Linked DNA regions of Nothobranchius furzeri. The protein of the gene in region 1 purifies or fractionates together with the protein of each later gene. This does not show direct contact. Links are inferred from orthologs where the notes say so. Each region holds a gene or a part of one and is shown on either strand. Other genes may lie near its edges.

What was found.
Region 2: the proteins of eif5 (region 1) and eif3ba fractionate together in Homo sapiens (co-fractionation; 3 studies listed by BioGRID and IntAct, with this or other methods). This does not show direct contact. The link is inferred for Nothobranchius furzeri from reciprocal best matches to the Homo sapiens genes EIF5 and EIF3B.

Annotation. Positions count from the first base shown.
Region 1 is NC_091758.1:10,699,886-10,703,657, reverse strand, and holds part of eif5 (eukaryotic translation initiation factor 5), read right to left. Parts: intron 1,079-3,772; coding exon 906-1,078; intron 656-905; coding exon 544-655; intron 443-543; coding exon 312-442; intron 111-311; coding exon 1-110.
Region 2 is NC_091744.1:16,233,280-16,236,709, forward strand, and holds the end of eif3ba (eukaryotic translation initiation factor 3 subunit B), read right to left. Parts: intron 3,353-3,430; coding exon 3,142-3,352; intron 3,067-3,141; coding exon 2,994-3,066; intron 2,897-2,993; coding exon 2,774-2,896; intron 2,695-2,773; coding exon 2,616-2,694; intron 2,566-2,615; exon of another isoform or gene 2,488-2,565; intron 2,416-2,487; coding exon 2,277-2,415; intron 2,199-2,276; coding exon 2,073-2,198; intron 2,042-2,072; exon of another isoform or gene 1,957-2,041; intron 1,884-1,956; coding exon 1,806-1,883; intron 1,653-1,805; coding exon 1,544-1,652; intron 1,466-1,543; coding exon 1,365-1,465; 3' UTR 1,353-1,364; intron 1,192-1,352; 3' UTR 654-1,191; downstream 1-653.

The DNA of each region.
Region 1 (3,772 bases):
TCTTCACTGAGCGTGAGGTTCTTGGCATGGTCACTGATCTCCTCCATTCGACGCCTTTGAGCCTCCTCAGTTGTCTCTTCTGCCCAGTCTTCATCATCATCGTCTCTATCCTGAACACCAGAAGGGCACGCAGATGTCCGTTTATACAAAACTCATGGAAAATTTTTAATTTGTTACCTTAAAATCAGAAAAAGAGCCTAACTGGATGTAAATGTTGTAGTTTTTATTTTTGGACAAAGTTTGGGGGTTTGTTTGTGGATGAATCCATCTAGCTGAATGCCAAATGTGTGCATGACGAACCAAAAACATACCACAGCTTCAGGGGCATCAATGTTGTCTTGGTTACCAGCCTCGCCACCGCTCGAGCCATTCTCCTTGTCTTTTTTGCGGTTCTTCTTTTCCTTCTCTTTCTTTGCAGATGCAGACCCACTGTCAGTGCTCTCTGTTAGTGGTGAAGCACACAATTTCACAGCCGTGTTTATGGGACTGCATGAGAAGAGGTTCCTTGTCTTGTAAACTTGGCGACAGACTAGAATCTCTCACCTGGTGGGTTTTTGAGGATGAATGTGCAGAGTTTGTGTCTGGTGTCTAGCATGCCGCGGTTTCCACAAGCCTTACAGGAAGTGCCGATGGTTTGTTTCTTGGGATTGACATGCTGCAAAGACGGCAATCACAGTCACTTAGCTTTTGAATTTGGAAATCTGACTTAATCTACTTGTTTTCACATTTGTGTTTCTAAAATTTAATCGAAACACCAAGAAAAAGTAATTAACTAATCGTTTTATAGTCTACAAAGTAAAATCCTTCAAAAACCTACAATTACCAATGAGACAAATTTAGATTTACTAGTTCCTTGAATTAAAATCTCTTAGAATCCATTTCAGAGAAAACGTAGATTCATTCACCAGATCAGTTTCAGGGTTGTCGCACTCGGTACACAGCACAAATTTCCTGATGAACCCATCAAGCATATCCTGCAACTTGTTCGCCTCGTGGGATCCATTTACGATGTAGCGATCGTTTTTGGCATCAAACTGGGTCTGAGCGCCGAGTTCACAACCAAAAAACTTGGTTGGGTCTGCAGAGAAAGAGAAAAGGAAAAAGTATGTAATAAAAATATTATTTCTAAATAAACCTCTAACAGGTCATATTATGAACAGATGGGGGAAGAGCATTTTTTTATTTCCGAAGTGACTATCCACGGTAGTAGTTGGGCATGCGTCACGGGCTGATCAGACCTGCAGGGCTCCACGTCCCAGGACCCTTCTGAAAGAGTAGATTTATCCAGTTTCACAGCTTCAGTACCTTTCTTGTGCTAGGACAACGAGCGGTTACAGATCACTTAATGCTTGAATGAAACTATCAACTCAAGTTTGGTCAATTTTACCGACTGCTGTCCTTGTCTCGACTCTGCTGGAGGGTGATTTTGAAGCTTTGGTCGACGGTATAACGATTCCCTTTATCAGTGTGGATATGGCCGAGGATCTAGAAAGATATTTGAGTAAGAGAGATTGCTTCTGTGATCAGCAACACGCCGAGAAGCAAATCTCCCAGACAGGATGGTGGCTTACTTTCTAAACGTTATGGGCCACTCTCACCATTGCTGTTGTTGGTCTTCAATGAGTTCGCTACAGCTTGGTCGTTTCTGCCACATACGCGTCAAGCTGTTATTTCTGTGCTTTTAAAAAAAGACTAAAACACCAAACCCTTATGCTCTTATAGTACGGCTTTGCTTTTGAATGTAGATGCTAAAATTCTGGTGAAGGTCCTGGTCAGGCACCTCAAGACGGTGCTACCCATTTTAGTTTCACATGACCAGACAGGGTTTGTGAATGATTTGCAGCTCCATCATCCTGGAGGCAGCCCAGCGAGGCGGGCGCCCGACTTCCTGTATCCCGACTGGGAATAGTTGCTAGAAGCAGGTGTCCACCCACTCCCGTGACAGCTGAGCCGTGCGGCTGCTTGGCTTCCATGCAAGGCAGCAATTGTCCTCGTTATCTGGGAAGCGCTGAGGGAGATCACAGAAACACTGCAGCTCTTTCAGTTGATGCTGCGTCACTTTTGGGTCATTCAACCTTGTTTTTCACACTAAAGCACTCGAAAACCTCCGTTAGATTTGAATTAGCTCTGGTAGTTCGTAGCTAACCCCCTTTGGCTCCAAGCTCTTTGTAGCTTCGAGTTAGCATGTAGCCAATCTCCCACTAATCTCAGACTGTTGCAGAGGAGCTGAGCATGATCTTGCGTATGTGGCATGGGCACCTGGTTCCGACTGCAGCGGTATCCATCCATTTTCCGTCTTCCTTGTTTTAAGTACACCCAGCTTAGCTCAGACCATCAGACCAGTCTGGATGCTTTTTTATCAGAAATAAGAGTTGGACCTGGGTACTGGATTGTTGCAGGTCTGGTACGAGATTTTACAGAACGTTCATAAATCCTTGAGCCGAGCAAGTATCCAGTTTAGAGCCCTGCACGGGCCTAAAATCTGAGCCTGTGTCCGGCCCGGCCCGAGGGGGTGGAGCCCCAGCCCGACCCGGTCCGAAAAGGTTTTCAGGATTCTCAGGTCCGACCCGAGCCAGACTTTTTTTTAACCTTTCATAATGTTTTAGCGTGATAGAATGCTCAGCATTCTGTGAGAAGCGTTCTGCAGTAAAAAAGAAAAACAGCATCAATGCAGATTTTTTTTCTAACAGAGCGTATTTTTCGAGCGGCAGATGAAATTTACGAACACAATATTAATCGGATGCGTTTGTAAAATTTATCTGCTCTGAAAATGCGCTCTTGTGCAATTAGAAAAAAAAAGCAGCATTCTAATTTTCTAACTGCAGAGCACATTGCCCCCAATTATTATAGCGTTTGTAAATTTAATCTGCCGCTCTGAAAATGCTCCAGTTAGAAAAACCAGCAATGAATGCTGTATTTTTCTAACTGCAGAACGAATTTATTCACAGAAAAATAGAATGCCGAGGGCCGGGCGTCAGAGCAGGGCTCTAATCCAGTTCACTTCTTCACGTGTTCTGGACGTGCCTGAACCTACAGGAGATTTGCGGGGGTATTTTTAATGCACTCTTCAAGATCTGTGGGACAACTGTGCACCCTGACACTTTGCTTTGTTTGGAGCAGTTGCAGTGAATTCCTCTTCAGACACTGAATTATAGATTTGTCACCTTTTGACGTTTTGTCACGGCTGGAGCCTTTTTGTGTTGTGATTTCATTTTTCTGTGCATTTTTATGTTGCATCTGAGGAGCCTGCCTGCAGACTATGACCTGTTGGCTCACCCTTGCTCCTCCCTGCACCAGCTGAGCTGGGTTTTCATCAGCCGCAAATTGTTTAAAGGACCTGCTGGAGCTCCTCACCAATGGGGACAATAGCGCAGAGCTGCCTTTCCTCTGGTCTGTTGTCTCCCACTTAGAACTTCGATATTGTGCTCTTTAGAGTTATGTTACATGTTACTGTTTGAACCTGTTTTGGTAAAAGTGGATTTAGATCCATGGTGGTTAACAATAATAATAGTCATCTTTTCTGAATTAAGAGACAGTAAATAAAACTTTTGTTAATTTTCCTTTGTGTCACGCGTCCTCCATGTTACCCCAGGCCCCCTAGACACCTGGTTGTAACACGTTTAATGGCTCAAAGACTCATTCTTCCATGTGGAAAGATTCTCACCCACCAGTGTATTGTGGAGACAACGTCCCATATACTAAACCTGAGAAGATCAGGAACACTAGATTAAGAACTAATGTTGTTTGCTTGAGGTTTGTTGTGTTTTGATGC
Region 2 (3,430 bases), on another chromosome or scaffold:
CATCGCTAAACTCCAGCTCATGTCCAAGCTACTTGTTAGGCCTATCGGGAACTATACTAGATTAGTTTGCCGCCTATTTGTCCAAGTATTTCATCTCTTTGGCAAGTTTTGGTTCTTCCCCACCTCCCTTGCTCATGGGGTTCCACAAGGTTATGTGCTGGAGTCAATACTGTTCCTCCTTTATCTGCTACCCCTTCAGCACTCTGAGGTCCTTTTAAGGAATCTCCTACCATCCTCATGTAAATGACACCCAACTGCACATCCTCTTTAAACCCCATGAGATGTCCAAGCTGCAGCTGTCACACATCTGCTCACTCCATTAAAATCTGGATGGCTGGTAACTTTCTACAGCTGAATGAAGACTGAGATCCTAATCTGTGCCCCAGACAAGCTGGTTCTCAGAGACTGTCAGCTTGTTTCTCACACCAAACCCTGTCTGGAATCCTGGTGACCTTTGACCCAGCTCTTACTTTGGACTACCATGTCAGTTCTCTAGATCGCTCTTCCTTCTTTCACCTCAGGGACATTGCTAAACTTAGCCCTAATCTGAATTTGTTATCCACAGATTCATTCAAAAACCCTTTGTTGCATTTTGACAAATTTTAATAAAACAGGACAAAACTTGTTTAAGACACAAAAACAGAACAGAGGAGTACTTGTGTTAGAATGTTTATTTAAAGTTATTCCCACTGCGCACCCCCTCCCTGTGTGAAAGCCTAATCTGAAAGGAGGAGGATACAGGCCACTATAACGCCACATCAGCACATTTGTTGACAAGGCTACTGGTTTTGACTCAACACCTTCCTCATGCACTGGTTTGACACTCTGTGCTGCGCTGTAGCAACACACCAGCATGATGAGGCCTGTTCAGAATCAATCCCAGGAGGAAGAAGGTCCACTAAGATAGGGCTGAGAGTTTTGACTCCAACCAATGTTTAAAAATGAAGGCAGTTTTACTAAATTTCCAGTTCCACAAAGAAGAAAATGGCAATTGTGAGGCAGAGAAATAATTTGGATAGCTTCTCTTTTTCCTCAATGTGGCTGCTGATCCACAAGACGTTGATTTGATGATGCCACTAAAAGAAAACCTGAGGCTCGAGACGAACCCAACGTTTGTCACAGTGAGGCCGTCGTCCTTCTCCAGTCAGTGACACCGCTCCTATCCTCTCCTTCCACACAACAACAGATGGACTAAAGGAAGATCAGAGTAGCACCAAATCACACCATTGATACAGACACCAAGTGCAAAGCAACTAATTATAATAGAAAGAAAATGGGCTGTTCCAGTTATTCCAGCATAACACTGGACCAAAACACCAGTGGCCATGTTTGTTACACGTATCAAGTGTTACCTGCGTAGCGGACTACAGATCTCCGAGGGGAATGATTTCTTCGTTGATAAAAAACTCAATGGTCTCCTCCTCCCAGTCGTCCACGTTGCTGTCAAGCTCATCAGTGTCCACTCCTGGAAGACCAAACCATCCAAATGTTAAAATGAAGCACAGAGGTCATCGAGGTCGAGCTTGTAAAAGCAGAGCCCCACCTCCTCTGAGCTCAAGGCGGAGGTTCTTCTGTTCTTGATAGTTCTGCAGCGCCGCCTCCCTGTAGTTACGGTACTCCTCCATCATGGCTCTGCGCTTGTCCACCAGCTCCTACGCTCACAAACACACATTTGTATGACTTCAGCAGTGAAGAAAATTAAGTGTCGGCAGACTCAAGCTTTCAAAGATGAAGGAGATAACATGAATGTACAGATCTGTACTTCAATGAAGAGTAAAATGTCAAAAAGGAGGAACAGGTCAAACCTTTGAAGCCTTGGACTGGCTCAGACGATCCTTCTGCTCAAAGATCTTTGAGTATTTCTTAAGATCCTTTTTGATCATCTGCAAGGGAAAACACAAGTTAATTAGGACTGTTCTAAAACAAGGAGGTTGAAATGTCATGTCAAGTATTTATGAGCCTCAGATCAGAAATAGAATCAGGAGCTGGAGTGCAGCTCTCATACGAGGTGTCAGAAAGTTTTTATCTGTCATCACCGGCTCCAGACACACATTTTACAGGCAAACTGGTACCTTAATCTGATCTATGCTGAGCAGAGTGGGAGGTCTGGGCCTCCAGAGCAGCTGACAGAACCGGTCCTTGTTGTTCTTCTGGAGGAGACGGCCCTGGAAGGTCCATAGCCAGTACGCGTTGTCCACCTAGACAAATGAGTCCAAAAGAAGGGATGAGTTTAAACAGAAGAGAAGAGCGAGTGAGTTTGTGGAAGCAGGACACACCTTGTGGCTCCACCAGGAGACGGAGGTAACGACGTATCGGCCGGTCGGGTCCCATTCTACGTCAGAGGCCATGTAGTGCTCTGCTATGTTCATCAAGGTGCAGTCAGAGGTATCCACGAAGGCTAGAGCGCCGTTCATACTGAACACAGAGGCAAAACAAAGACTTGGTACTGGGGCAGGTGCAAGAGGTGAAAGGTGAAAGAAAAGATACAAGCCTCAGAACAGCATTAGAATCAGGAGCAAAGCTCTCATATGAGGTGTCAGAAAATAAAGTTTATCATCAGCGGCTTTTGAGAGAAAACACACACACACACACACACACACACACACACACCCTACCTTCTGAGTCCAGCCAGCACCATAAACTGTCCCTGGGGGCTCCAGAAAATGCTGTTTGCCTGCTGTTTGTCAAACATTTCTGTAAAAATAATAAAAATTACAAGAGGGAGTAAAGACACTAAAAAAACGACTTTCGCTCATCTGCCCAACCAACTGACTTATGAGCTCGATCTTCCCGTTGTTTTTGACGTGATAGAAGGAAGCGTTGATTCTGGGAGACTCTCCGTGGAGAACAGCAAACTTGCTGCCGTTGGGCTCCCAGGCAAATGCGATGATGCTTTCTAAGAAGACAGGACACGAACGGATCGCATTAGATTACTTCTATAAAATAAAACGGTCAAAAATAGATGCAAAAATGCTTCTTTTTTTTGCTCTCACCCTTCATCTCCACGACATCTACAGGAACCTGCTTCTCTCTCATTCGGAAGATTTCAAAGTTGGTGACAACACCCTGGAACCGAACAGAGATGGGCCTTTTATCGTAAATCCAATAAGATATAAAGACAGTCTATCTCTGGCTGCATACCTGAGTTCCTTTGGGAGTCCTGTCCACTTTCACACACAGATAATCTCCATTTCGCTGCCAGTGCAGTTTGCAGTCAACTACATTGAAGAGATTACGAACTCTGATCTCTTGACGAGACGGCATCTGCATCAGGGTGACTCTAGCTGGGATGTCTTTGTCCTCTGGTACCCAGAACGCTATGATGTTGTCACCAGGAGACCATGAGAAGTCCCTGTGGAAAGACCAAACAAACTCGAGATTCACATCAATATAACAATAAAAGTGTAATAAGCAACAATTCATAACGAGA